4 linked regions of the Stegostoma tigrinum genome follow. The protein of the gene in region 1 binds, or shares a complex with, the protein of each later gene. Links are inferred from orthologs where the notes say so. Each region holds a gene or a part of one and is shown in the gene's direction. Other genes may lie near its edges. The genes, in order: nedd4l, smad7, amot and smad3b.

Region 1 (7,478 bases):
AGGTTATAAGGGATAGGATTTATAATCATCTAGAAAAGAATAAATTGATTAGGGTTAGTCAGCACGGTTTTGTGAAGGGAAGGTCGTGCCTCACAAACCTTATTGAGTTCTTTGAGAAGGTGACCAAACAGGTAGATGAGAGTAAACCGATTGTGGTGTATATGGATTTCAGCAAGGCGTTCGATAAGGTTCCCCACAGTAGGCTATTGTACAAAATGCGGAAGAATGGGATTGTGGGAGATATAGCAATTTGGATTGGAACTTGGCTTGCTGAAAGAAGACAGAGGGTGGTAGTTGATGGGAAATGTTCATCCTGGAGAGCAGTTACTAGTGGTGTACCGCAAGGGTCGGTGTTGGGTCCACTGCTGTTTGTCATTTTTATAAATCACCTGGATGAGGGCGTAGAAGGATGGGTTAGTAAATTTGCAGACGACACTAAGGTCGGTGGAGTTGTGGATAGTGACGAAGGATGCTGTCGGTTGCAGACAGACATAGATAAGCTGCAGAACTGGCCTGAGAGGTGGCAAATGGAGTTTAATGCAGACAAGTGTGAGGTGATGCACTTTGGTAGGAGTAACCAGAAGGCAAAGTACAGGGCGAATGGTAAGATTCTTAGTGTAGTTGAGCACAGAGATCTTGGTGTTCATGTACACAGATCGTTGAAAGTTGCCACCCTGGTTGACAGGGCTGTTAAGAAGGCATACAGTGTTTTAGCTTTTATTAATAGAGGGATCGAGTTCCAGAACCACGAGGTTATGGTGAAACTGTACAAAACTCTGGTGCGGCCGCACTTGGAGCATTGTGTACAGTTTTGGTCACCGCATTATAAGAAGGATGTGGAAGCTTTGGAAAGGGTGCAGAGGAGATTTACTAGGATGTTGCCCTGGTATGGTGGGAAGGTCTTACAAGGAAAGGCTGAGGGACTTGAGGCTGTTTTCATTAGAGAGAAGAAGGTTGAGAGGTGACTTAATAGAAACATATAAAATAATCAGCGGGTTAGATAGGATGGATAGACAGAGGCTTTTTCCTAGGATGGTGACGGCGAGCACGAGGGGGCATAGCTTTAAATTGAGGGGTGAAAGATATAGGACAGATGTCAGAGGTAGTTTCTTTGCTCAGAGAGTAGTCAGGGAATGGAACGCTTTGCCTGCAACGGTAGTAGATTCTCCAACTTTAGGTATATTTATGTTGTCATTGGATAAACATATGGACGTACATGGAATAGTGTAGGTTAGCTGGGCTTGAGATCAGTATGACAGGTCAGCACAACATCGAGGGCCGAAGGGCCTGTACTGTGCTGTCATGTTCTACGTTCTATGTTAACAATTCCTGTCCCTGCTGTATCCGTGGGTCAGTTTTTGTCCAGTGTGTGCAGGAGAGCTTCCTGACACAGTATGTAGATAGGCCAACAAGGGGCGAAGCCACGTTAGATTTGGTACTGGGTAATGAGCCTGGCCAGGTGTTATTGTATGCCAACTCTCCCTTTCCTGTGAAAACTGTTAACCATGCATTCGCATTATCAGCTTCCTGTCTCCTCTGCAACTTTGGTATTGTTTGTGTCTGTTACACCATGTCAAAATAACCTACACCAAAATTGTGAATGACATCTTCCATGATTTTGGATTTATAGCACCAACATTCTGCATCATATCTGTTTCATGTGGCGTTTGCTGTGCAATATTCCTCTAATATTTCGTCTTAGTTTCCAAATGTGTGTGTTCTTAGTGTAGCTGTTATATTATGACATAGTTCAGTTCTTGGATAAAGTTGCACATTTCCACTTTGAGTTTTCTAAAGTTCAATCCTTGGACCTCTTCTGCTTCTAAGCTTAAAAAGTTGCTTACCCTTGTGTCATTTGTGGCTCTGGCTTCTCTATTATTAAGGTCTGGATTCACCAAGTCACACTTGATTACTTGAACATGATTACGTGGTACTCTAATCCTTCACTGAGGGATGCCTACACATTTGATCATGCTGTTTGTTCCTTCAGATAATAAAACGTGTGACACTACTTGGAAGAAAGGCAGTTATCCTTTTTGTCCACATCACTATGTATTCTTCAGTCAACATAACTTAAAAACGGGTTATCTGTTCATTATCACATTCCTGTTTACACTATCTTGCTGTATATATAATAGCCCACGTTTCCTACATAACTGAAATTCAGAAAAGTGCTTGATTAACTGTAAAGAGCTTTAAACTATCTGGTGATCCTGAAAGGAACCAAATAAATGTACGTTCTTTTCTTCACAATGACATTTTCAGGCATGTGATCAAAACTTAGACTGGACAATTGACTTCATATCTGTCAATTCTGTTCATATTTCAATGACTTATTTAGATCTTGAATGAGTCACACTTTCTATGACCTGAATAGTAGGAATGCCCATGCCGTTGTTTTTGGCATTTGAAGTAAGCTTTGGTGACTTGTCTCTGATTTCATCATTGTTATTGGCCAGAACTCGGAATTGAAAAGAAATCTGCAACTTCAGCATTGTTGTCCACATCCTCAGTATTACTTCTCTCTAAGTTGCTGCGTTACCAAAGCCCTCAAAATATTTTCTACCTCTGCGCATGATTATTTTGACATTTGATTGCCTGAAATGCCATCGTCTATTAACTACAAATTCCTTGTTGTCTCAAGTGCAATAATCTGCGTCCATGTTTGCACAGAGTCCAAATCTCCTATCATCTTATCATCCATATTTTCCAACATTATCTCCTGTCCTGATGCATTTTGTTTATAATTTTGTCCTTGCCTGCAGTGCCGCTCCATTTCTGTATGTGTTAGCTATACAACCTCTAACAGCCATACAGTGCATATTTCAGTGTATCTGTTTCAGCCTCCAATGTGGCTAAATCCCTCAATCTTTGTTTGGTGGCAGGGCTGTCTGTTTCCGCAGGTCATTTCTCAAAGCCATTTCCCCATGTCATTTCTGCACTGTTTTATTTTTCTACCTGCCTTTAAAAGAAATCTAACCCATTCCAACCTGGCTTTCCATCGTCATCTTTCCCCATGTTGAAACAACTGGCAACAGCTTCCTCCTCCTTGGATAGTTTAGACAACTAAAGTTGTTGGTGTGTGAGAAAATATATCTTTGCATAAAGTTGGTCATGCATAAGACAGCCAATTTTAAAAAATCTTCTATTAGTATTGCAGTACTGTATTACCTTCTGCCAGTTTTCCAACAGATATGAGTTATAGTTAACAGTATATCTGTCTTAATTGGCTATTATACTGAACTTTAAATAAAACTGTATTTCTTGAGCTTTCCCCTGACTGAAAATAGATCTTTCATGGCTGTGTTTAAAGCAGCTGTATGTTTTTGCTCACAGAGCAGCTATAAAATTGGATTTAGTGTAATCATTAAATTTGTTTTGGTCTTAGCTTATGGAAGTAGGGTTTTAGAAACCAGCTCTCGTATTTAGACAAGTTACATCAATATTTCACAGATTCTGTAAGCTCTCCAGAGCTTTTGTAATTGCCTTTATATTCTGTCTTTCAAAATATTCTGCTGTCGTGTGATGAGATTTATTGTGGTAAATGGAGGCTGCTTTGGTCAGCTGCATGTGCTTTCCCGCTGGGGTTGCTCCCTTTGATGGAAAAGGAGCAGCTGTGAAGGCACTGTTTCAGACACTTGCTGCCTTTGGGAAAAAAATTTCTGCTGTGCATTGGAAGGGGAGTTGCATCATGTGACTGCTACCACCCTACCCCATGTTATACTGTGTAGTACTACTGATTGCCTTTATCCAATCATGCCTGGAATGCTGCCTGTCACTTGGGCTATTTCTGCTATCTGTCGCTGTCAAGCTTCAGTGCTAACCGTTTGGCAGATGGGACAGTTTTTTCTCGAGCTTACCTCTTTGCTTTCTTTAAATATGCTTTTGGCAGTGTGATTTCCTCTTCTCGTATTTTAAACTGGGCTGTTGGTGTTAAACTATGGCCCATCGACTGCGCCTTTACTTTGGATCAAATAGGAGTCACACTGATCCAGAATCGGAGATGTTAGATGAAGAGAGAGAAAATGACATCTATATGACATTCCACACTTTGCCAAGGAGGAATGCCCCTCATCCTTTCCAGGATATGCCTAGGCCTGTGTCCGATGCTGTGCTGCCTTTACAGGATCAAACCTCCTTGAGTCGCAGCTCTTCCATGTTCATTCCTCAGTTGCACAGTTCTGAGTCACGACCCACCAGGAGTTCCTCGATGCAGATATCGTTGCAGCGCAACCCTATGAATGGATATGGTGATACCAGTGTCTCGGAGTCTCTGGAACAGCCGTTACCAGACTTTGGAATGGAAGTTGGCAACAATGATGGCTTATTTTCTAGGAGCCATTCTCTTCCAAGTGTCCCTCGAAACACAGATGATCCCCCATCCTATAATATGGCTGCATCACAACAGGTTATTGGAAATGTTCCATCTAATTGTACAATAAGCTCTCTTTTTCCTGTGGAACAAAAGCCATGCAGTATTGGTCAAGATGAATTAACAAATGGGTCTCCCTCTGATCTAAAGGTTGGAGATGTACCTGTTCAACACTGCTCGCCAACAGAAATAGATCAAATGCAGTTTTCATCTTTCACTCGTAATGGACGTCCAAAAGCTCATGCCTCTGTAACTAGGCGTTGGTCTTTACAACATCAGCCGTACATGGCGGGGAACATGGGGAAATCTTGTTTTGTCTTCCAGCTCCAGCAACAGTGCAAAGGTGTCCAGGACTCCTGGATGGATTTCAAAAGGGGACGAGCATGCACAAAGGATGAGCAAGCAGCTAGGCATCCACATGTACGACTGGGGCGAAGTGCCTCTGCCACCTTTCCAGTTAAGGGAAATGCTGAGTGTTTTGGTGCTGCTGAGAGAAGGAAGCAACTCGCAGGAACACTAACTGGGGAAAACAATTCAGACATGCTTTGCGGCACTTATGGCACTTTGCCGCAAACACAGTCCTGTAAGTTTAAAATCAGACAGGAGCGAAATCAGAGGCAACCACACTTTCGAATTCTTTTAACCCGAGGATCTGAAGAGCAGAATGAAGGCTCAATAAGGGATAATGGTGGTTGTGTTCAGACAAGAATGAATTCAATCACCGGAGAGGACTCTGTGGTATGTAACCAGTTCAAAAGTGTATCTGTCACTTAGACTGTGTGTGGGGGTGCTATTTTGAGGCTAAAAGTGGGTTGGGTGAGGGGTTGGATTTATGGTGTGGGACCTAAATACAATTGGTTTCAGAGGTGAGACTGCATAAAATGAAGTTCTGACAATGCTATAACTTAAAGATGAATGGTTTCTGGTTTATTTTCTTAAATTGTGGTTTGTCTGTCTGAGGAGTGAATCTGCAGGAGTTGTCTTAATATGTTTCCAAACAAGATGTGTATAGACAAGTAAGCTATGTCACCAGTTTAGAAAGCAGGCTTGAAATCACACAAGTTGGTGTTTAATGCCTTTGTGTGCTCTTTTGAAATATGGCGTAGAAACAGGTTTCCTCCCTCAAGTATAAATCTGCACCACACAACAAATTTGTTTGTGTTTTTCAGTTTGGTAGAAGAAACTGAAAGAAGCATTTTTGTTATGAACTGTTTAAATAGTTTGCAGCTGGAAGTTGGCTGAATGTAAAGCACCAAGCATATTCTCTCTTTTCCCATCGTTTGTGTTTACTGTGTCTGATGGAAGACATGACTTATGGTCTGTCTTAGCAGGTGTCATACTTTTACTTGAGACGAATAAGAGAATTAATTTTACTGTCTACTGGCTCTGGCCCAGAGACAATTTGGGGCTGCAGATGTTCCTTCCGCTATTCCTGTAAAAGAAAAAATGAAACGAAAATATTATTTGAGCGATGTTTTTCCCTTTGCAAGTTCATAAAAAGCAAAGTTGAACAGGGTGTATATCAGGCATGCAATTCAATCCCCCAGTTCACACTCAGTGAATTCAGTTAAACTTAAGTTTTGTAGTGCTCAGTGGCAAGCACTTAGAAAAAATGGAAACAATATGAACTAAAGCAAAAAAGTCAAGGAAGAGAGATTTTGTGTCCAGAGGACGCTCATAGTCCTAACTCAATTAAATTGAATTAATAGTCATTACATAATCTTAATTCTGTGAATGTTTGATCTTTTAAAAATAGTATTTTGTACTTCTACTTCTGTCTAGTCACATGTATTACGGGCACAGTCCGTTTGTGCTGTTGTGTAACCCTCCTTTCTTAACTGGAAGCTAATGTGTTGGATCAGCTTGAGATTCTGTTAGGAGCCATCTAAATCCAGCAGAGGAAACATTGCCAGAGGAAACACTTCTGCATGGCCAATCAACAACATGCCTTCCAGATCCTGGAGTCTCCAACGTTGCGCATAAGCTAATAAAAACTTACAGCTCCTATTGGAACAGTGGAGTTATGTGTGAAACATGACTGCCTCTCCATAAGCAGCAGAACTGCTGCTGATCCAGAACAAAGGAGAGATGAACATAGTTTCAAGGCTTAAAAAGAGTAGCACTACATTGTGTATTCTTTGAAGTGCAAATTGAAACGTATTTCATACAGAGTATACTCCCCAGCCGTGCCAGCCCGCTGCCAAAACGTTTCATCTTCAAAATGCTCCAGAACGGCCTTTCTTAGCTTGTCAAATATGTGATGGAAGCAAGTATTTAATTCACAGTCAAAAATTTGTGAACAAGTACAATGTACACTTTAAAGAATATTTAAAAGCTGAATTACAGAGTGATTGAGTCACAGAGATATACAGCATGGAAATAGACCCTTTGGGCCAACTCAACCATACTGACCAGATATACTAAATCTAGTCCCAATTGCCTGCATTTGGCCTATATCCCTCTAAACCTTTCCCGCACGTGTACCCATCCAGATACCTTTTAATTGTTGTAATTGTACCAGCCTCCACCACTTCCACTGGCAGCTCATTCTATATATGCAACACTATCTGTGTAAAAAAAAAGTTGCCTCTTAGGCCCCTTTTATATCTTTCTCCTCTCACCTTCAACCTATGCCCTCTAATTTTGGTCTCCCCCACTCTGGAGAAAAGTCCTTGCCTATTTACTCTATCCATGCCTATCATTTTATAAATCTTTGAGATTTCCCCCTCAGCCTCCGACACTCTCAAGAAAATAGCCCCAGCCTACTCAGCCTCCTCCTATAGCTCAAACTTTCCAACCCTTTCAATGTCCTCGTAAAACTTTTCTGAACTCTTTCTAGTTTCACAACATCCTTCCTTTAGGAGGGGGACCAGAAGTGAATGCAGTGCTCCAAAAGTGGCTGAACTAATGTCCTGTACAGCCACAACATGACCTCCCAACTCTGTACTCAGTGCACTATCAACCTGTGACCTATAAGTAACATGCAACTCATCCACTTGGCAAAAAAAACAGCCAAAGCAGTGCAGTTGCTAGAAATCAGAAACTGAAACAGAAATTGCTGTTGAAACACATCTGGCCACATCTGTGGAGAGAAATATTTCAAGCC
Region 2 (6,921 bases), about 7.8 Mb from region 1:
GGGCTATAGTATTCTAAATGTGGCCACACAAAGGATTTGCATAAGGTAGAGAATAATATTGTTAGTTTTGTATTCAGTCAGCCTAACTATGTGCTACCAGTTTGCTCACTGTGACACTGCGCAAGTCTCCTTTAGATTTTCATGAACCCCTGGGTCTCTCTGCCACCACACAGATTGTAGAGGGTTACGATTCATAGCTTGTCCGGCTCTTAGCAAGATGGTTACAATGCATGCAGCATTGTGAAAGACATTTATACCGGGACACAATGATCTAAATTAGCCCATAATCTTCTTCTTGTTTTCATTTAAAGTCTTATAATTTAGACCAGGATCATGCTAAGTATCTCTATTTCTCCGAGTCTTCCTCCTCTAATTCTGACCTTGTTCATATCCTAATTTTCTTTACAGCTGTGATGTCAGCTCTTTAGGGTCTAAGCTCCGTCTTCTTATCTCTCCTCTCCTTTAAGATGCTCCTTAAAGCTGCTTCTTTCCTCCTTGTTAATATTTCCTTACGTGGCTTGGTGTTAAATTTTCTTTGATGACATCCCTGTTAAGAACATTGGGTGATTTCCATGTTAAAGGTACAAAAAATGACCCAAAGCTATTCAGTGTGGAGCAGGAGGAACACAGCACGCCAGGCAGCATCAGAGGAGCAGGAAGGTTGATGTTTCGGGTCGGGACCCTTCTTCAGAACTTCCTCAGTCCTGAGGAAGGGTCACCAGATCCAAAGCGTTAACTCTGATTTTTTTCTTCACAGATGCTGCCGGACCTGCTGAGCTTTTCCAGCAACTTCTGTTTTTGTGAGACAAATGGCATGGTCCAGGATAGTTTTTCATCCATCAACACTGACACTGTGAAAGTGAAGGTTGTTAATAGCTTCAGGTATCTAACCTCCATGATCACCAGCAAACTGTCACTTGATGCTGAACTCAACACTTTTTTTTAAATCACTTGTGGGACCTGAGTGTTGCTTTCTTGGCCAGGATTTCTTGTCCATCCCTAGTTGCCCTTGAGAAGGTAGTGGTGAGTTGCTTTTTTGAACCACTGCAGTCCATGTGATGTAGGTAGACCCACAATGCTCTTCGGGTGGGAACTCAGGATTTTGACTCATCGATAGTGAATGAACAATGATATATTTCCAAGTCAGGATGGTTAGTGGCTTGGAGGCGAACTTATAGGTGGTGGTGTTCCCATGTATCTGCTGCCTTTGTCCTTTTCGATGGAAGTGGTTCTGGGCTTGGAAGATACTGTCAAAGAATCTTTGGTGACTTTGTGCCATGCTTCTTGTAGATAGTACAAGAACACGTAAGTAGAAAAATGTGAAGTAATCTGATATTGACCTAAAAAGAGATCAAAAGACTGGAAACAATAAAGCTTTTGAGAGACTTGAGGGTCCAGCTACACTGATTATTAACACACGAAAACAAACATTGCTGGAGAAACTCAGCAGATCTGGCAGCATCTGTGGAAAGAGAAACAGAGTTAATGAATCCAGTCCAGAGGTCCTACTTCAGAACTGTTTACAGCCTCGCTGAGTTTCTCCAGCAATTTCTATTTCTGCATGTTTCATATCTCCAGCATCCTCAGTTCTTTGTTTTATCCACAAATCATTAAAGTATCATGGGCAGGTATGAAAAAGGCTGAAGGAATGCTGGCCTTTAAACCCGGGTGCTTTGAATATGGGGTGCTTAGAGTCATTCTTCAACAATACAAATAGTGTGGAACAGCATCAGTTTGGACACTAAGCCTTAGCAAGGATCTGGTATAATTACACAATTTAAAAGGCATCTGGATGGGTGCATGAATAGGAAGGGCTCAGATGGGCAAAATGTTGGGAACAGGGACCAGATTAATTTAGGATATCTGATCGTTATGAATGAGTTGGACTGAAGGGTCTGTTTCCACCCTGTACATGCTATTCCATGTTCTTTGACTCTATTGGCCTTGGAAGGATTGCCATCTAGGTTTATTGGAATATTGCTTGGTCTCCAACAGTTCAGCTACAGGGAGAAATTAAATAAACTGGAGTTGTATTTCTGAAGAACAATCATAGCGGATTCAAAACATGAACTCAGTTTCTTTCTGCCCAGATGCTCCTGGGCCTGCCGAATTTCTCCAGCATTCTCTGTGTTTGTCATTAGGGTTGCATTTCCTGCAGTGTTGAAGATTTAAGTCTTCACTGAAACTTCCAATATGTTACAGAAATAGACAGGATAATGCAGAAAAAACTATTCCTGCTGGTGGGAGTCCAGAAATTAGAAAGAGTTTGAGGAGTGAATTTATGAAACTGGTTTCCACATAAAGGATATTCAAAGTTTGTGGAACTCTCTTACACAAATGATAATTGATGCTAGGTCAATAATTAATGTTAAATCTAAAAATGATGGGGATTTATTGACCAAAGGGATTAATGGAAATGGGGTAGACTTGGTCTCATGACTATGATAACACTGAACAGCTGAATATCATCGAACAGCTAAGTAGCCCACAACTAATGCCCCTACTCTGCTTAGCTGGCATACAGTCTTGAATGCACAGTAACTCCTCCCTTTGGGAGAAGGGAAGCTAAATGGTGTAACACAAATTCAAATTGTTGTTGGCTTCTATATGAAGATCAACCAATTAATTGAAATATTTTGAATCCCCTCATAAGAATACCACTTTAAAATCTACAGCAGAAGTAGGTCATTCAACCCATTGAGACTGCTCTACCATTTAATGCTAATCTGATAATTCTCAACTCCATTCTCCTGCCTTTTTCTCATAACTCTTGAATCCCTTACTGATTAAAAATCTGTCTCAGGTTTGCATATCAATGGCCCGTCTTTGACTGCCCTGTGCAATAAAGAATTCCAGGGAACCACCAACTGAGAAGAAACAAAAGTCATCATTTTGGTTTTAAATAGATGACATTTATGTCCTCTGAGATTATGTCCTCTGGTTCTGGACTGTCCCTGGAAGGACTTCTCCACATCAACCCTGTCAAGCTCCCTAAGAATCTTAGATGGTTTGAAAAGGTCTCTTCTCATTCTTCAAAGATTTAAAGAATACAAGCCCAACCTACGCAATTTCTCAAGTCAAAATCCCCCCATACCCGATTCTACCTAGAGAACCTTCTCTGCACTACCTCCTATGCCAGTTTATCTTTCTTAGATAAAGGACCAGAACTGTTCATAGTATTCCAGCTGTGGTCTGACTAGTACCTTGTTTATTTTAACAGGACCTCCATTCTCTTTGAAATAAAAGCCCATAATAGTTCATTTGCCTTTCCTACAATCCAGGGAACTTAGATGTCAATTGGCGAACATGAGACTTATTTTGCAGCCCTAAAAAGTGGAAATTATTCTCGTTGATCTATGGAATTGCAGTAAGATTATTAGTTTCAAACCTTCAAGACAGCCCTAGAAATTCGACACACAGCTATCCCACCTCTCTGTCTCTCTGTGCATCAATATCACCCTGCAATAACCTCCACAAGGCAGTCTTGCTCGAAGGGCCTGTTTACCTGTTTCTGTGGTGCTTTGACAGGGGACGCAAAGCTGAGAGAAAAACGAATGTCAGGAATGTTCAGACGAGAATCTGGATGGAGCAAGTTGCAGTTCCCAGAATTTCCCGGACTGATTTTCCTCTCCCATCACACAGCAACGCTCACTACCCCGCCACCCCCCCCCCCCAAATAAAAACACAAAACAAAAAGAAAATGGGTAGTGTGCATTGTTGCCGTGATGAAGTGGCTGAATGTTGCCTGCAGTTTGTTGTACGTGTTTTGGGGGTTGGGGGCGACTGGCTTCTCAGTAAAAGGGGCTGTTCGTAATGTGATCGCTTGTTTGCGTAACAATCACTTTAAACCGGGGGCCGCGACAAAGTGTCTAGACACACACGTGACCGACCGCGCCAATGCGCAGCCAAAGCAAGAGCTTGTAAATTTCAAGCCTTGTGTCAGTTTCAGCCCGGAGTCCGGAGCACTCAGGAAATCCACCAGCAGAGCTGCAAACGGAGACAACTTTCTCTTGGTTTTTTTTATTTTCTTTTTCCTCACCCCCCCACCTCCCTGATAAATCGCCGCATTTTTTTTAAAAAAAGAATATTGTTGGAGAGAGGTATTAAGTTAGTGAAAGGCAACTGGGAAAGAGAGAGAGACAGAGACAAGCAGGCGCACGTACAAGTCAAAGCAAAGAGAAAGAAAGAGGAGACTGGAACGGATTAGAGACACTGCATGTGTATCTATAATCGTTGAAAGGAAGAAGGGAAAACGAAGGAAGAGAGCTATCTCGACAATCATCAGAATCGCCGGATTACGGGCTTGGATTAAACTGTGGCCCCAAAAAAGCCAGGGAAGGAACAAGAAGCGAACGCTTGGGTTACATTTTAATGGATGCATATTCTTGACTACATTTTCCCTACTTTATGCCGGTGGGTTACAATGCATGATTGTATCTGTGACCCATCCCCCCGTATTTAATTGCAGTATTGTTAAAACCAATTTAACCGGATCTTTTATTTTTTAACCTGCCTAAAGATAAGGGGCTGGCGTATGCTACAGATTTGTGCGGCTGCTGTTACTGTGTTGTTGCCATTAAGAACAGGCTGGATTCATGTTTTGCGGATATGTTTTTTCTGTACCTGGCTGGGTTTTAGCGAATTTCTCTCTGGCGGATCGTCGTCTCGTATGTTCAGGACGAAACGATCGGGTCTGGTGCGGCGACTTTGGCGAAGCCGTGCATTGGGAGAAGCAGACGGCCAGACGGATAAAGAGGGCGATGCAAGCCGAGGAGGGGGAAGAGGAGGCGGGGGAGGTGGAGGTGACGGAGGTAGTAGCAGCGGCAGCGGAGCCGGGGGATGCTGCGGGGCTAAAGCATCGAAAGCGAGCACCTCGGACCCCGAGTTAAAAGCCCTCACGCACTCGCTGTTGAGGAAACTGAAAGAGAAACAGTTGGAATTATTACTGCAATCTGTGGAGAGTAAAGGGGGAGCCCGCACAGGATGCCTCCTTTTGCCCAAGATGATTGAGCCCAAACTAAGCAAACAAACTTACTCCTTGCCGGTACTGATCTGCAAAGTCTTCCGCTGGGCTGACCTGAGGAACTCCTCCGAACTGAAAAGACTTTATTGCTGTCAATCGTACGGAACGAATAGCCCGGATTCCATCTGTTGTAACCCGCACCACCTTAGCAGACTCTGTGAACTCGGTAAGGTCTTTCTCAATGATCTGAATGCTTCTTTTTGAACGGGCAGTAACTGAAAGTACTTTTTTAAATTTGGAAAACCCGAATTTTGTGACTTCTGACTGTTGCAGTCTACTTGGGCCACCTCGGCGCCTCCATTTGTTATAAAAGTCCCACTAGGATTTACAATAAAGTGGCGGATACTGTTAAACATCCAGAGACCCTGCCTGAAGTCCTTCTGCAAATTTAACCGGCCCTCGCTTTATTCACATCCTTAAAGGTGTCCCTTTTTTCACACAAGAACTCCGTGAATCTTACATTTAAAAAAAGACTCACCATAGTAGATTTGATCTAGAAGTTTCATCATGCTATTTCATGAATGAATTCTTTTTGAGAGTAAAGCTGTGGTTATGTCGCAACATTCTCTGCTAAAATTCGAGTTTGATCCCGGATTAGTATTAACTATAAACGGTCTAGTTTACAACTGAATTTTATTCCATACTTATTCAGAGTCAGCGTTACTAATAAAGAACATGCGCTGGTTTGAAACTGCCTATCAATCCAAACATTACTGAACAATATTCTCCCTACTCAACTATGTAATTATGCCGTCAATTCAAGTGTTGCCTAATAATAATTACTTCTCTATATTTGCATAGATTTTCATTCAAGATTATGATCTGAATTGAAACTTGAGTTAGATCGAGAACGAGGGTGGGGGGGCGAGAAATTACAGATTTTAAAAAAGTCATTCCATCGAAATGTTTCTGGGAATTGTCTGAACCTCAAAAGTTTGTCGTTTAAATTCACATCCCTGTTAAAAGGGAGCAGGAGTAAAGTTATTTCAAACACCCTATAAAGCCTGTCAGATGTATCAATCAAGTAACTAAAAGTTCTTTTGGGGAAAGAAGAAAAAAGTTTGTCTAGAAGGCTTGTCGCCGCGGTAAATGGGTGATTTTCCAGTTAGATGGCGCGGTCAGATCCTCAGCCAGACTGATTCAGTGTAATTTCCAGAGCAGAAGTGGTTTACGTGAGCCAAGGAGGGGCGATTAGACACACAAGTTGCATATCAGTGAGACTGGCGCCAGGCTGACTCTTTTGTTTATGTGACTGTTAACTATCAAGGCAATCGCTGACTTTGCTGCGTTGCCTCCAGCCCCCAGAGCTAAGACAAATAGTTTGCGAAAGAATGCCGGCTCTCCTGCCAGCGTTATCATCAGTTTCTATCTCTTTTCTCATGGCTTTGACTTTTTTTCTCTCTTTTAATGTTTTCAGAGTCACCCCCGCCTCCCTATTCTAGATTTCCAATGGACTCATTCAAGCAGCCTGGTAAGTACAGTGGTGTTTTCGTGTTATTTTTCGAATTGTAATCCAATTGTTTTTCTATGTAAACTGAAAACAATTTCCTTAAAACTTTCCACCCTGCCCCCCCATCTGCTTAAAGCATTTTACTACCTGTGTAGAGGGGAAAAGTTGTGTTTTTTTATGTGAGCTCTAAAATATTTGATTTTTACGTTTTGAAAGGTATTTCCAATGAGTCAAACCTTGAAGACAGGAAAGTTGATAGCAGCTTCCATCAGGAAAGGAGCATGATTCAGAACTGATGTGGGGCATGGCTAGAAAGTTGAGCCTGTAGGGGAAATTTAGGCTGGCTTTTCAGCTTTTGGTGAATGTAAGAATTTTCACATGGTATAATTAGAGTAATAAATACACCTCCATGTATAACTCATGACAAGACATAACGTGTTTAGTTTCC
Region 3 (7,851 bases), on another chromosome or scaffold:
TGACTGGCACAGACTCGATTGGGCCAAATGTTCTTTTCCTGTGCTGTGGACCTGGTAGATAAGGTGGTTAAGAAAGCATGTGGGATATTTGCCTTTATTGATCAACTTCTGTGCTCTTACTTCCACCATAAGATACTGGGTACAAATAGTATCTTAGGGCACTGTTGGAGCACTTTGTGCAGTTCTGGAATTCACATTATTGGAAGGATGTAATTACACTAAAGGGGTTGGAGTGTTTCAGCTATAATGAAAGACTAGGTAGGCTAGAGTTTTTTTTTCTTTGGAACAGACAAGGCACTTGGAGGACTTGATTGAAGTCCACAAAGTTTTGAGGGGTATAGATGGGGAGAAGCTTAGAGGGATGAAAAATTGGGGATACAGATTTAAGCTGAGTAGTAGGATGTTCAGAGACTGGAAGAATATTTAACACCCAATGTTTGGTGGATGCCTAGAACTCACTGCAAGGGTGTTCTGAGCACTTGAAATATTATAGCATGTAAGACTGTGGGCCAAGTGTTGTAAATTGGGATTAAAATTAGATGCTTGATGACTGGCTTGGACTTGATGGGCCAGAAGACCTCTTTCTGTGCTATAAAAATTCCATGGCTCAATTGGGTAAGAAGGACAACAAAATCCTGATTATATGATTAATTTCCACAAACACCTGAACCCAGCTTGCTTTATTTACAAAAATGAGAATTGATGGGCAACAAAAGATGAGATCCATTTAAGTATAATGGTTAATGCAGCACAACACATGTACACCTCAACCCCACTGAAGCTATATGATTTCTTGGGAGAAGTAGAAAAAACTCTTTTCAGAACCAAAAACAAACCACTGCTAATTGAAGGGGAAAATAATTGGAAAAATTCTCTCCAGGCCCACCTTTAATGGTTAAAAGTAGTTCGAGTCCGTTCTTTTTCTAATCAATGTTGTGAGGTTACCTGTGCCCCAGAAACAGATATAGCTGTAGCTTGAAGTGATCTGCTAAATTGATCATCATCCACCAAAAACGAGCAGCCAGTTCACTGTTCTGTCAGAAGAGAAAAATGTACAAACGTTTAGCCTAGTTTTGCACTTGGCATATTCTGCAAGAATAATCTGTCCTAAATGATCAATTAGACAAGTACGTAGTACAAATAGTTGTTTGGTAATTTGAATTTGAACATTGCTGAAAAAAGATGTTTTGCTGAAGTTTTCTTCCACTTATCAGGACATTTTGCAAGAATGCAGATTCATGTACAAATTAATATTTATACTGCATAAGAGGAGAGTTCTGAGTGGCTGGCAAATACACTCTGGTTGGAACATTGCCATATTGAAAACACTCTATTGCTAATTGTCAGTTTACAGATGTATTCATCATTGGCAGTCTATCGCAGATGAGGATGACTCTCTTCCACTCTTGGTTGAGTCTGTAGGTGACTAAATGGACCAATGCAGCTACTGTAGGTTCCCTTATGCTTAGGGCAGGTGGTGTTCATGGGAAGGAGTGGGTGGGGCATTGGTGTGGTAGTGCGCTCCTTTCACTGTTTTTGCCTGACTTCCATTTTTACCTGACAGCAAGTCTCCAGGTGCTTGACATCTTCCCAGATGCTCTTCTACTTTAGATGTTCTTGGGCCAGTATTTCCTAGGTGTCTGTGGGAATGCTGCACTTCACCAGTGAGGCCTTGAGGGTATCACTGAAGCATTTCCTTTGTCCACCTGGGGTTCGCCTGCCATTCTTGAAGTTGGGAATAGAGCACCTGTTTGTCTCTTGTTGCTCATGTTGATATCCAGCACATCATAGCTGATCAAGGGTGGTCAGTGTCAAGATGTTGGCCTGTTTGAGAATGCTGATTCTTTCCAGCAGATTTGCAGGATCTTTTGCAAGCAGTGTTGGTGGTATTGCTCCAGTGCCTTGAAGTGCCATTGAGGAGGGTAGGAACTACCCCAGGTCTGTAAACCACAGGCGTGTTCACAGTGCATGGGGAAGGTTGTACCCTCATGATGACAGATTACTTATGTAAATATTCCATTCTTTGATGACTTAGCAACATGCTAAATGTAACAGTTGCTGATATAATGACTTACTTTTATTTATTCAGTGTTCCAGAATGGATAGCATCTGACAATGGGCTGCAGTTCACTGGCATGTATGAAGTGGGGAATGACCACATCACGTAATCACCTCACATTTAAATGGTCCAGCAGTGTGTGTAGTACTTCCTGCCAAATCAATGATCAAGTATGGAAACAAGTTTTTCACATTTTGTTGGTGCATCTTCATACAGCATCAATGGCGAAGCCATCACCAACCCCACCACAGCATATGCTTGGAAGGCAAGTACCATGTAACTTTGCCAAGTACCCAATTGTCTAATCATTCCATGACAACAATATTTTTCTTCAAAGACAGAGGAGAATGAAAGAGATAAATGATGAGTGAACAAGTAGAGAAATACCACAATTACACAGTGGACAGAGAATGACTTAGAAATACATATACTTGAATATAGCAATAGTTTCAATCGTGCAACTGGCCCAGATCATGTGAAGTCATTACGGCTCGTGGTGCTACTTTGAGAAAGAATATGTGCCAGCTCGAACAATGTACAACACACCAATCGTGTATGATGAGAATGAGGAAGAATACTGTGATGATGATGATGATTGTGCAGCAATATTGAGTAACAGTAACCAGGAAAATTACAACCAAATAAAACAGAGTACAAATAAAACATGTACCTCTCCACATGGGTATACGATCACCAGATCGGCGCAAGTTGTCAAACCTCCAAAGCTTTATATTGAACTCTGAATTGTTAATTTTGTAAACTCTGTTTATACCTGTTCATGTAATTACCTAATTGACAAACCTGTTTATGTACAACCTTGTATTTCTTTTTGAGATCACTTTTTATCTTTGAAAAAGATGTTGCATTAGGTTCACGGGTAGCATGTCAGCATACCTGATAAGGGAAACGATCTTGATTCATCACTGTCTCATAGTATGTGAACTGAGGGTGTAAACTTCTTGGACTCTATCAGAACCAGAGGGCACAGTTTAAAAATAAGGGGTAGGCCATTTAGAACAGAGCTGAGGAAAAACTTCTTCACCCAGAGAGTGGTGGATATATGGAATGCTCTGCCCCAGAAGGCAGTGGAGGCCAACTCTCTGGATACTTTCAAGAAAGAGATGGATAGACCTCTTAAAGATAGTGGAATCAAAGGCAGGAGGGATGAGGCAGGAACAGGATACTGATTGTGGATGATCAGCCATGATGATAATGAATGGTGGTGCTGGCTGAAAGGGCTGAATGGCCTACTCTAGCACCTATTGTCTATTGTCTTAACTTGGACTACTTAAAGTATGAGACTCTGATGGAAGCATGCTGCTCATTGTAACCAAAGAGTTATAATGAATGTCCACTGGATCTTTCAATGCCACATTTTCTGTGTACTAGTTTCTTATGTTGTGAAGGATGACACAACTATTACTGTATCAGGTAAGGATACCCTGCTGTTGGCAAAACATACCCCACCAATGCAGGTATTGACTAATTCCAACAGCAAATTGTGCAATTATCTCTCTTTGATATTTAAGGTTTTATTCAACAGCATTGCTCTGACTGAATCAACATCCTCCAGGCCATCATTGTCCAAAACCTTAACCAGACCAGCCACATAAGCATCTTGAAGCCGTGTATTTTGCAGTGAATAGCTCACATCATTCTCAACCATTTGCAGTGCACAAATCAGGTTCCCTATTTGGGGTGTAGTGTATCTGTATTAATATTCTAGTAATTTACTGCTAAGCACGGTGTAGTGTATCTGTATTAATATTCTAGTAATTCACTGCTAAGCACAGGCTAGTCTATTTGATCAGAGCATCATCCTCTAACTTAAATATCAATCTTCTACGTCATTGACTATGTTGTGTATTACCCACAGTATGCACACCAATCATTCATCTGAAATGTTATGGCAAGACTTCCTAAACCACCTGCTTTACAACTGGGAGAGGCCAGGGAAGCAGGTGAAACAATTCTCCTCTAGTTCCGCCTCACCCTCAAATGTTCCTTCATTTTTAAGTCAAAATCCTGGAATGCACTGTCTAATTATATAGAAGGATTATCTTCATTACACAGAATACAGTTATATACTTAAGCTCCCAGTAGCAACTACGAGAGCGACCAAGCATGGACGAGAAAAATTGACTTCAGAGGTGACACTTTAGGAATTTAAAAAAAACTTGTTTCTTCAACTTGTTTGAACAAATCTAAACGATTTACAGGTGGATTGTGTTGTTGAATTATGATTTTATTTGGATCAAGCCGAAATAAAACATGTGCTGGAAAAACTCAGCATGTACGGAGATAATTATAGTCCAAAACGACTTCTGAACGAAGTTCACATTGGAGTCCAAGGATTAACTCTGTTTCTCCCTCCACAGATGCTGCCAGACCCCCAACCCCACACTCTTTTTGTTTCGGATCTTGAGCAATGAACATTGTTTTGCTTTTTTCGAATGGGTTTTAAATTCATATGCGTTTATTTAACGCGTGAAACAAGGACGTTATTTGATTCTCAGTTCATTTTTAAAGGTAGGTGAAACATACTCCACAATGTCACCTGTTTGCATCGGGGGCACCCCCGCCTCTCTCGCGCCGCGTAGCCAGCCGAAGTGCCTCTGCAGGCGTCGTGCGAAGCCCATTGGAAGTTGAAGTCCAGGCGAGCTGATCCTGGCAGGGAAACGGGTTAATCCATGGGAACCAAACGACTACACTTCCCAAGCTGCACCTTGGTTTTATTTTCCACCAAGCGCAAGCGTAGAAACAACGAGCGGGGCCGGCAGGTGAAAGACGCTGGAGAAAGGTTTTTTTTATTTTCCCCTCCCTCGTCACGTTGAGTTTGGAAATGGTGGTGAAAGAGGGGGGAGCACGGAAAGGTTTGCAGAATATTTCAACAGTAAGTCATTTATTTTTCGAGAAAGGGTGAATTGCTTCGTAAAACTATTTAGAAATATAGCTAACGTTTGGCAGGGAATTACTCCTCTGTTGGCCGGACACCTAACAAAGAACAGGCTTCAATTAAATTGCATGTGGAGAGAAAATTATTAACTCGCAATATAAATGATGACAGCGTATCTGTGTTGCAAACGTATTATACGATTACATGCCTCTTCTCTAATTTCCAAATTAAATGGTGAAGTAACATGTAAAATGAACCTTTGTTTCACTACTTCACGTCTAACGTTGTAAATCTCCGCTCCTGCTTCGCCCAGTCTGATGCTAAAACACTGATCTTTGCCATTCACCATCCTGAGTGAGCTTCAGCTCATTTTAAAGCACAGCGGGCTGTGTTGAATTCAGCACCATCTCCCATTCTACTGTCTCCCCTGTTTTTCTTGAGTTTGCCCCACCGCGGCCACCAAGAACAACACAAGCAAAATTCAAATTCTTACCCAGGTTTTGACTTTCAAATGAGCATGGTGCAACAAAAACTACACGGTTCTTTGTAAACTAGATGTTCATCTAATTTGTAAGCCTGTCTATGTGTATGGAAGAATGCTACAATATCTTAATCTAAGCCCCGATGCATATTGTTGGACTCCAACCTGGTGTCGTGTGGCTTCTGACCTTGTCCACCCCAGTCCACATCATGGAACAAATAGGATTAGCAGCATTTAACATTGTAGGGTTTTCTTTTGCAAAGATGTACTTTATTCACTAAGAAAAATAAATCTTTATGTACATACACAGTTACAGAAGTAGTTCTGATCACTAAAGTTTTTGCGTATGGAGAAGAAAATAAACATCGGAGTTTGATTTTTCATATTAGGTACAACTAATCCAAAGGCATTTCTTAATTATGGAAAGTAGTTGGAACTACTGACATGTATTTGAGGCATCAGGAGTGTCCAATAACTCAACGGGCCCCTGTTGTATTTTGGCAGAAACTGTGGTGGTCATTCCCTACTGCACCTTGGTGGCAGCTGTCCCAAGCTTTAGTGCATCCTTCAGCACATAGTCCTGGACCTTGGAATATGCGGCTGCAACACTCGGTCAGGGTTAACAGTTTGCACTGGAAGACCAGCAAATTTTGGGCAGATCACAGGGTGTCTTTCACTGAGTTGATGGTCTTCCAGGCATGGTCGATGTTTGTCTTGGTGTACATCCTGTACAGAGTCCTGCGTCATGGAGCTGCTTGGGACTAGCCTCGTCAAAAACCTCTGCATCTCTCTCCAGACTTCCTCTGCATAGCCACATTCCAGAAGGAGATGGGAGATAGCCTCAATCCTCTTGGAACCGCTTTGAGAGGATTTGTCCGTGCATGAAAGATCTTGCAGCTAGTGCCCTTCTCTCCACCAGCCAAGCTGTTGTCTTGATGCTTGTTGAAAAGTTCTGGCAATGAGGAATTCTTCCAAAAGGCTTTGACAGTCTGCTCAAGGAACTACCCGACAAGATCAACTATCTCCTTTTCCTGAAGTGTCTTGAGGATTCTATGTGCTGACCACTTCCTGGTGGACTTGTGGTCAAAGGTGTTTTCTTTCACAAATTTATCCATGAGGGACAGGTCATATGGGATGGTCCAACTACTTGGAGTGTGCTGTGGTGACGAGGCCTGACCCATCCTTCGTGACACTATGGACAGGTAAAATCTCAGAACGTAGTGACACAAAATATCTGCGTACTGAGGGTCTAAGCGCAGCTTGATATAGACACACAGAAAGGTGGCCATCAGGATGAGGGTGGCATTCATTCTTAACCCGCCCCCAACCCCAACACATTTAATACACGGTGTCCCTTTGGACTCGATCAATCTTAGACCTCCAAATGAGGTATATGGCGGCTTAGGTCACTGCAGCGATGCAGGCTTGGGGAATAGGCCAGATCTGTGCCACGTACAACAACATTGAGAGGATGTCACACCTGATGACCAGGCTTACACCTGCAATGGAGAGCTAACGGTTCTCTCATCTGCCCAGTTTCTGAGGCATTTGAGTTCAAGTAATGTAGTGCTGATGATATTATTTTGCTCTTTAACTCTGCAAATAAGGCTTCAGTTCAAGTCCACAGCTCGAGTATTCTTAGTTTCCCAACAGTGTGGAAACAGGCCCTTTGGTCCAACACATCCACACCGGGTCGGAAATTGGCTTGTTGAAAGAAGACAGAGGGTGGTAGTTGATGGGAAATGTTCATCCTGGAGTCCAGTTATTAGTGGTGTACCGCAAGGGTCAGTGTTGGGTCCACTGCTGTTTGTCATTTTTATAAATGACCTGGATGAGGGCGTAGAAGGATGGGTTAGTAAATTTGCAGATGACACTAAGGTCGGTGGAGTTGTGGATAGTGACGAAGGATGCTGTAGGTTGCAGAGAGACATAGATAAGCTGCAGAGCTGGGCTGAGAGGTGGCAAATGGAGTTTAATGCAGACAAGTGTGAGGTGATGCACTTCGGTAGGAGTAACCGGAAGGCAAAGTACAGGGCAAATGGTAAGATTCTTAGCAGTGTAGATGTGCAGAGAGATCTTGGTGTCCGTGTACAAAGATCCTTGAAAATTGCCACCCAGGTTGACAGGGCTGTTGAGAAGGCATACAATGTTTTAACTTTTATTAATAGAGGGATCGAGTTCCGGAACCAAGAGGTTACGGTGAAGCTGTACAAAACCCTGGTGTGGCCGCACTTGGAGTATTGCGTGCAGTTCTGGTCACCGCATTATAAGAAGGATGTGGAAGCTTTGGAAATGGTGCAGAGGAGATTTACTAGGATGTTGCCTGGTATGGAGGGAAGGTCTTATGAGGAAAGGCTGAGGGACTTGAGGCTGTTTTCATTAGAGAGAAGAAGGTTGAGAGGTGACTTAGTTGAG
Region 4 (8,015 bases), on another chromosome or scaffold:
CAATGTCTACTGAGCAGTCTGATCCTGCCAGTTATCCAGCTAGATTAGTTTAGATGTCCAAATGTCACATTCTGATTTGAAAGTGACTGTTCAGCATCAGAATGGCCACTACAGCCACAATCAGGGCTGTTCTGCCCTTGATATTAAAACAGCTATTTTTTCAGCGTTTGTTTTGAAAATAAGGAGAGGGAGGGAAGTGGTTAGATGTTGAATTGTCACCATCCTGAAATAATATGAAGACATAATTTGGGCAATCACCAGGTGCTGTTCCAAATATAGGCACTCCCTGGGTTGTGAACAGGTTTCGTTGGTAAGTCTGTTTGCAAGTTGATGTGTGCACAAGTCAGAACACAGTGCATGACCATATAAAGCAGCCATTCGTAAGTATAGAAAATGTTCATATGCTGGGTCTTTAAAATTGTTCCGCTGTATGGAATAGCATTCGTCAGTGTGAATGTTCATAAGCCAGATGTTTGTCAGTTGGGGACCCCCTATAGTTACATGCAGACACAGTACAGCCTTGAGGAGTGGCGAGCGGCATAAATGCAGTGCTCTCTTCAAGGCACCTTTCAGACTTTTGGCCTAATAATTCAAATACGCAACTTTATATCTAATCCAACACTCATGTTTCCCCGAACAGTGGGTGTTGTTCCCTGTTTCTGCTCTAATAATTTAACTTCCGGCCCCAACTTTTGCTCCTCTACCAACTTGTTTTCTGTCTTTCACCATCACCCCTTTTGTCATTTATTCTATCCTTATCTTCCATCCTCACAACATTCCTCTCTCCCTGTCTCTCTACTTGCCAATAATATGTAAAACCTCTAACTCCTTCCCATCCTGATGAAACGGCATCAAACAGAAACATGAACATTATCTTCCCTCCCCGAGACTCTGAATGTTTGCAGCATTTTCTCTTTTAATTACAGACTCCAACACCTACAGTATTTTATTTCAGCAATGTTTCAACGACTGCTGAGATAACAAGGTCTAGAGCTGGATGAGCACAGCAGGCCAAGCAGCATCAGTGGAGCAGGAAGGCTGATGTTTTGGGCCTAGATCCTTCTTCAGAAGAAGGGCCTAGGCCCGAAACGTCAGCCTTCCTGCTCCACTGATGCTGCTTGGCCTGCGGTGTTCATCCAGCTCTACTCCTTGTTATCTTAGATTCTCCAGCATCTGCAGTTCCTACTATCTCTGAAACAATTTTAACCCCTCTTTCAACAACTGTTCATTGTTCTAACAAGTTGGAACTGCCTGGAATTATCCTTCTCTGTCCTAGAATGACCGAGTGAGATCCATTATGTTCAGTTTCAGGTTATGAGCTTGTTTTGATAATTGAAGGGAAGGTGGAAGAGGGAAGAAAGACACTGTTTCAATAATATTTTCTTCATCCCAAGTAAACTGTTCCACAGCCAATGAGCTACTGTTGAAATGTTAGTGTGGAGGTTTCTTTACGAGACTCATTTTTGCTCAGCCCCATGGATTATAAAAATACCTTAAAGCTAATGAGGTACTGCAAATGAATAGTCACCATTGAAATGTGGAAAATGCAGCACACAATTTGAGCACAGCAAGATCTCACAATTAACAATATTATAGTGATCAGATTTTGCTGAGATGTTGGTTAGAAAAGAAAGAGGAATTATATTTACATAGTGTTTTTCAAGGTCACCAGGTATCTCGGTGTGTTTTTCAGCCACTGTACTACTTTTGAGGTGTAGTCACTGCTGTACTTCCGGAAACATGGCAGCCAGTTTGCTCATAGCAAAGGCTCACACACTGAAATGCGATATTGACCAGATCATGGCTCTGCTACATCAAAATCCTGGAATTGCCTCCCAACCAGAATTACGTGTGTACTTAACACCATGGTATGCAGCTGTTCAAGAAGGAAGCTCACCACCACCTTCTCAAGGGTAACTAGGGATGGAAAATAAATGCCAGCCCAGCCAGCGACGCCCACTTCCACAAGTGAATAAAATATATCTATCTTTTGTGATGATGACCAGGACTTCCAGGGGAGGCGATGGCCCAGTGGTTTTATCACTGGCCTGTCAATCCAGAGGCCCAGGCAACATTTTTGTGGGGACCGGGGTTCAAATGGTGCAATTTGAATTCAATAAGCATCTGGAATTAAGAATTTAATGATGACTGTGAATCCATTGTTGATTGTTGGAAAAAACCCATCTGGCCCACTAATGCCCTTAGGGAAGGAAACTGCCATCCTTACTTGGTCTGAGATAATAAAATGTGAGGCTGGATGAACACAGCAGGCCCAGCAGCATCTCAGGAGCACAAAAGCTGACGTTTTGGGCCTAGACCCTTCATCTAGACCCTTCACTCTGATGAAGGGTCTAGGCCCGAAACGTCAGCTTTTGTGCTCCTGAGATGCTGCTGGGCCTGCTGTGTTCATCCAGCCTCACATTTTATTATCTCGGATTCTCCAGCATCTGCAGTTCCCATTATCACTTACTTGGTCTGGCCTACACGTGACTCTAGACCCACAGCGATGTGGTTGCCCTCTGGGCAACTAGGCAGGCACAATAAATGCTGCCTAACCAGCAACACCTTCATACCGTGAATGAATAAAGGAAAAAAAAATTAGTATGGCTGAGGACCAGAGCAACAGAGTTTTGTTTGAACTCAGGGTTATGAGGGGTGGAAAACAGATAGGTGCAGGGACAGGAAGAGAGGAGGCTGCGAAAGGATTGAGACACGCAAAGAGAGTGAGTAAAGAAATGGCAAATGGAATAATTTTGGGAAAGTGTGGAATTTATGCACTTAGATGGGAATAACAGAAGCATAGACTATTTTCTAAAAGGGCAAAGGCTTCAAAATCTGAAGTACAAAGGAGCTTGGAAGTCTTAGCTAAGGTTAAGTCTCTTAAGGTTAACATATAGGTTCAGGTGACACTTAGGAAGGAAAATGCAATGATAGCATTCATATCAAGAGGGCTCGAATACAAGAGCAGAAATGTTACTGCTGAGGATGTATAAGGCTCTGATCAGACCGTATTTAGGATATTGTGAGCAGTTTTGGGCCCCACATCTAGGGTAGGAAGTGCTGGTGATGGAGGGAGTCCAGAGGAGGTTTGCAAGAACGATCCGAGGGATAAAGGACTTGTCATATGACGAGCAGTTGAGGACTCCGTACTCAATGGAGTTCAGAAGGATAAGGGGGATCTCATCGAAACTTAGAGAATACTGAGAGGCCTGGATAGAGTGGACGTGGAGAAAATGTTTCCAGTAGTAGGAGAGACTATGACCCAAGGGGACAGCCTCAGAGTGAAGACAAACCGTTTTATCTGAGATGAAGATAAAGTTCTTCAGCCAGAAGGTGGTGAATCTGTGGAAGTCATTGCTGCAGAAGGCTGTGGAGGCCAAGTCAATGAATGTATTTAAGACTGAGATAGACAGGTTCTTGATTGGCAAGGGGATCCACAGTTACTGGGAGAAGGCAGGACAGTAAGGTTTAGAATTGCATCCTTTGTGATCAAATGGTGGAGCAGAGCAACAGGCTGAATGGCCTAATTCTGTTCGAATATCTTACCATTGAAGACCAGAGGGTGCTTGGGAGGTCATCAGAGTAGTCAAGTATGAATGTAACAGAATTCAGCCTGAGTGTTTCTGCAGCAGATGAGTTCTGATGAAGGGTCTAGGCCTGAAACATCAGTCTTCCTGCTCCTAAGATGCTGCTTGGCCTGCTGTGTTCATCCAGCTCTACACCTCGTTATCTCGGATTCTCTAGCATCTGCAGTTCCTATTACCTCTGAGGTAGAAGTGAAGTTGGCCAATGTCACAAGGACAGAAGAAGCCAGTTCTAGAACATTGTGGTCAGATGTAAATGTTCATCACCAGTTATATGCATATCCTGTTGAGCGCTGATGAAGCTGGTTCCCAGCTGCTAGCTTTAGACAGGTTTTAACTAGTTTTTGGCCTGTTTACGAAGAGTAGGCTTGAATTTTAACATGCAGATTGATTGTGTTGAAAAAAGGAAGAAAGACTTACATTTATGTAACACCTTTCACAATTTTGGAGTAATGCCAAGCAGATTTAAAGTGATGTTACCTTTGAAGTGTAGTCCTCATGTGTCTTCAGTTGTGGGAATCATGGCAGCTACATATTACACAGTAAGATCCCACAGACGAACGATCTTACAAAGATCAACTGACTGAGTTTTCTGGTGCTGATTGTGGGCTAAAACGGACACCTGCTGATAGAAGTGCAAAGGAATTCAACAAAATCAGGCTGCAGGATTTTGAATGCCAACTCAAGTCAGATTCACTTAGACATCTTCCCCCACCAACTCCCCCCCGCAAACAGAACTTCATAGTGTGGGACTTAAACCTTCTGCTTCACACCTGGAAATGTTTCCTACAGAGCCACAGTTAATGTCACTGGTTAAGTAATGACAGAAATTGCTGGGACTGGTCTCTGGAGCAGGTCAGGAAGGATAAAGGGTAGGTGACATTCTATTTTTAAAAAACGGATTTTAAAAATGTTTCTTGACATGCATTGTGAAATAATTGCGTAGGTTTAATTGAGATTTAGAAATACATCCATCTGTACTATCAAAAATACATCTTGTGGAAAATTACCAACTAAAAATTGGAAAAATGAGTTTTGTTTGATACTTGATTTCTGTCTGGAATTATAGAAATGTGGTAAAAGGAAAGGCAACAAACATAAGTTTTGTGTATGAAAGAGAGAAAAGAGCATATAGTGTGTGAATTTACTGGAATTTTGGCTTGTTTAGTCATAAAGCAGAGGGAGAGTTGAGCTGATACTGGGGCAGCTGCTGTAAGCAGCATTCTGTGCTGAAGCAAGAGAGACAGAAATAAACTCCAGTATACCACTGACACAAACAGAAGGAGAAACTTGAAAGGCTCACGCTTCTTTTTAAAAAAAAAGACCTGTGATGACTAAAACACAAATCAGAATGGATGTTTATCGTGTGACGTTTATCTGCGGTGAGGCGGCTCTTAGAAAAGCAGGCTGAGGAGAACTTAAAGCAACCACTTCTGCTCCAGTTAAAATATACCAGCAGAAGATCAGCATTTAGCTCAAGTGACGTATATTTTGGTGAGTAATGCGAATTCTTTGATTGAATACCATTAAAGGGTAGGATGATTTCCTGGCATTTAGAATCATTTTAAAGCCAGCAAACATTAACTTTCCTCTCTGTGCGTTTGTGTGTGTGTGTGTGTGTGTGTGTGTGCATTTAACCCACTGTTTATTTAACTACTGCTTACAGGAAGCCTATTTTAAAAGATTTACAGCTTGTTTTTCTATTTCATAGACTAACTGTCTCAAATGGTTGGTGTTTCTTTCTCTTCAAGTGTCCCTTAAACCAAATACATATTTATCAGCTTGACTCCGTTGATAATGTTCCTGCCTTCTGAGTTCAAATACATCTTAAAATGTACATCCACAATCTACACTCAAAAGGGGAGGTAGTAGAGAACAGATCCTGTTTCTGGAATAATCCCCAATGTCAGGATAATGTTAAATAGAATGAAATCTGGGTCTGCAATTAAAAGCTAGTCTGATAGGGATTGTGTACCAATTAAATATATTTTAAAAATCATGTTCACTAACATTTTTTAGGGTAGGAAATCTGCCATCCTTACGTGGTCTGGCCTACATGTGACTCCAGACTCCACAGTCTCTTAACTGCCCTCTGAAATTGGCTAGCAAGCCACTCAGTTTAAGGGCAATTATGGATGGGCAATAAATACTAGTGTTGACAGGGAAGACCACATCTCATTAAATAATTGTTTAAAATATAGACCGCTACTTTGAGGTAGTACTGAGGGAATGTTGTACTGTAAGAGGTAAAGTCCATCATATCAATGTTAAACTAATCCTCGCATCTGACTTGTTCTAAAAATATAGAAGATCTAAGCTGATAGATCAGGGTATTCCTATGGTGCTGCCCTGTGTAAACTTAAATTAAAGCATGCCTCAATCTCTTAGAATTATTCCCAGATTAATAACAACATGCAGTTATTTTTATTTTAATGGATCAGGACCAGCATTTGCTGTCCATTCCGAATTGTCCCTGAACTAATTGGTTTGGAAGGCCTTTCCAGAGTGCAACCACATAGCTCTGGGTCTGGAGTCACAAGCAGGCCAGACCAGCTGAGGGCTTTCTTCCTGAAGGGATCCAAACTAATCTTTACATAATAAATCAATGGTGGTTATATGGTCAGCAACACTGAGACCAGTATTGTATTCCAACTGTTGTAAATGGAACTTGAACCCATAACCCTACAGCATGGAACTACTCTCTAATTTACTAACATTACTACCAAAACATCCTTCTCCCTGGCAGAATTCATTAGCCAAATGACAAAACGGTGAGTCCTGACACAACGTGATAGAGCACTCCAATGACTCTTTGTTCAATATATAAACGATTGTTGCTATTCAGACGAAAAAAATCAAGATAATTCACTTCCTGATTTTTAGTTATCCTTTCAGTCATTAATTGATCAAGCTTAGCACTGAATTAGGAAGAGACTTTATCTCAAAGGCTGTTCATAAGGCTTTAGATCAGGTCTGGAGGAGATTTACGAAGATGTTGCCTGGATGAGACATTTCAATTTGGTGGAAGGGTTTGAATCATTAGAACATTAGAATCATTTCGGGCAGCTCGGTGGCTCAGTGGTTAGCACTGCAGCCTCACAGCGCCAGGGGCCCGGGTTCGATCCCGCCTCGGGCGACTGTCTGTGAGGAGTTTGCACATTCTCCCCGTGTCTGTGTGGGTTTCCTCCGGGTGCTCCGGTTTCCTCCCACAGTCCAAAGATGTGCAGATTAGGTGGACTAAATTGCTAAATTGCCCGTAGTGTTCAGGGGTGTGTGGGTTATAGGGGGATGGGTCTGGGTGGGATGCTTCAAGGGGCGGTGTGGACTTGTTGGGCCAAAGGACCTGTTTCCACACTGTAGGGAATCTAATCTAATCTAATCTAGTGGTATTAAATCACTGAACTGCTAATCCATGGGATGAGGTAATGTTCTGGGGATCTAGGTTCGAATCCTGCAATGATGGAAATTGAATTCATAAAAATTTCTGGAATTAAGAGCCTAATGATGACCATGAAACATTTTGTCAGGAAAATTCCATCTGATTCAGTAATGTCCTTTAGTGAAGGATACTGTTATCCTTAGCTGCTCTGTCCTCCACGCGACTCCAGACCACAGCAATGTGGTTAACTCTTAACTGCCCTCCTGGCTACTAGGGATGAGAAATAAATGCTGGCCAGCCAGCGATGTCTTCAACCTGTGAATTCATTGAAAAAAAATCTTCTGCTAAAGAACACGCATTGTTGTTTCACCAGACGTTTGATATGATTGACATACTCACTATCAATAGGAGAGCATCACACCCACTAATAGAATAGATCTTGGAACAATAGAAATAGAGGGCATTTGGTCCTTCATGTCTGTGCTGACCCCTTGAAAAAATAGCCATGCTCAGTTCCACACTCCTGTTCTTTATCTATAAGCCTGTATGTTCGTCAAGTACAAGTCCTTTTTCAAAATGACTCATTGAAGCTGAAATATTGTAACAAGGTCAGTCAGCTGGACATCATAGAAATGAGTTCTGTAATTGGGGCTGTTAATCTGGCGCAATCAGGGAGCTCTGGCTGAAAATAAAAGGTTGCGTGTCACAAGAATTGTTCATCTGTAAACAAAGGGTGACTTGGTGATGGGATACCGGCTTTTGTGGAGTTATTACAGAAGCAGCTTATGCCACCTTTTTAGACAATTCTCTAAATAGCAACAGGTTCTGCACCTCTGTCCTTGCAATCGTTAGCTGCTGATTTCAGACCCACTAAAGAGGGAATAATTTACACTATTGAAATCTATCAGCGTCTCAAGAATTGCTGTTAAGCCACCTTTTAACCACTTCTGCTCTGAGGTAAATCGTTCTAATGATTCAAACCCTTCCACCAAATTGAAATGTCTCATCCAGGCAACATCTTCGTAAATCTCCTCCAGACCTGATTTAAAGCC

Evidence for each region.
Region 2: the proteins of nedd4l (region 1) and smad7 are in contact, whole or in part, in an NMR structure (PDB 2LTY), measured with the Homo sapiens proteins. The link is inferred for Stegostoma tigrinum from reciprocal best matches to the Homo sapiens genes NEDD4L and SMAD7. Residues at the interface, in NP_001138439.1 of Homo sapiens: Arg394, Asp396, Lys398, Arg400, Tyr402, Val404, Asn405, His406, Arg409, Thr410, Thr411, Thr412, Trp413; in NP_005895.1 of Homo sapiens: Glu203, Glu205, Ser206, Pro207, Pro208, Pro209, Tyr211, Ser212, Arg213, Tyr214, Pro215, Asp217.
Region 3: the proteins of nedd4l (region 1) and amot are in contact, whole or in part, in a crystal structure (PDB 7LP3), measured with the Homo sapiens proteins. The link is inferred for Stegostoma tigrinum from reciprocal best matches to the Homo sapiens genes NEDD4L and AMOT. Residues at the interface, in NP_001138439.1 of Homo sapiens: Lys202, Asp204, Leu206, Arg208, Tyr210, Val212, Asn213, His214, Arg217, Thr218, Thr219, Gln220, Trp221; in NP_001106962.1 of Homo sapiens: His235, Arg236, Gly237, Pro238, Pro239, Pro240, Glu241, Tyr242, Pro243, Phe244, Met247.
Region 4: the proteins of nedd4l (region 1) and smad3b are in contact, whole or in part, in an NMR structure (PDB 2LB2), measured with the Homo sapiens proteins. The link is inferred for Stegostoma tigrinum from reciprocal best matches to the Homo sapiens genes NEDD4L and SMAD3. Residues at the interface, in NP_001138439.1 of Homo sapiens: Glu392, Glu393, Arg394, Lys398, Gly399, Arg400, Tyr402, Val404, Asn405, His406, Arg409, Thr410, Thr411, Trp413; in NP_005893.1 of Homo sapiens: Glu178, Thr179, Pro180, Pro181, Pro182, Gly183, Tyr184, Leu185, Ser186, Glu187, Asp188.

What each region holds. Positions count from the first base shown.
Region 1 is NC_081354.1:152,024,641-152,032,118, reverse strand, and holds the start of nedd4l (E3 ubiquitin-protein ligase NEDD4-like), read left to right. Parts: upstream 1-4,478; 5' UTR 4,479-4,570; coding exon 4,571-5,110; intron 5,111-7,478. UniProt on the Homo sapiens protein: E3 ubiquitin-protein ligase that mediates the polyubiquitination of lysine and cysteine residues on target proteins and is thereby implicated in the regulation of various signaling pathways including autophagy, innate immunity or DNA repair.
Region 2 is NC_081354.1:159,815,584-159,822,504, forward strand, and holds the start of smad7 (mothers against decapentaplegic homolog 7), read left to right. Parts: upstream 1-3,919; 5' UTR 3,920-4,534; coding exon 4,535-5,189; intron 5,190-6,440; coding exon 6,441-6,494; intron 6,495-6,921. UniProt on the Homo sapiens protein: Antagonist of signaling by TGF-beta (transforming growth factor) type 1 receptor superfamily members; has been shown to inhibit TGF-beta (Transforming growth factor) and activin signaling by associating with their receptors thus preventing SMAD2 access.
Region 3 is NC_081368.1:25,793,421-25,801,271, reverse strand, and holds the start of amot (angiomotin), read left to right. Parts: upstream 1-4,832; 5' UTR 4,833-4,952; intron 4,953-7,851.
Region 4 is NC_081386.1:30,933,938-30,941,952, reverse strand, and holds the start of smad3b (mothers against decapentaplegic homolog 3b), read left to right. Parts: upstream 1-4,999; 5' UTR 5,000-5,078; intron 5,079-8,015. UniProt on the Homo sapiens protein: Receptor-regulated SMAD (R-SMAD) that is an intracellular signal transducer and transcriptional modulator activated by TGF-beta (transforming growth factor) and activin type 1 receptor kinases.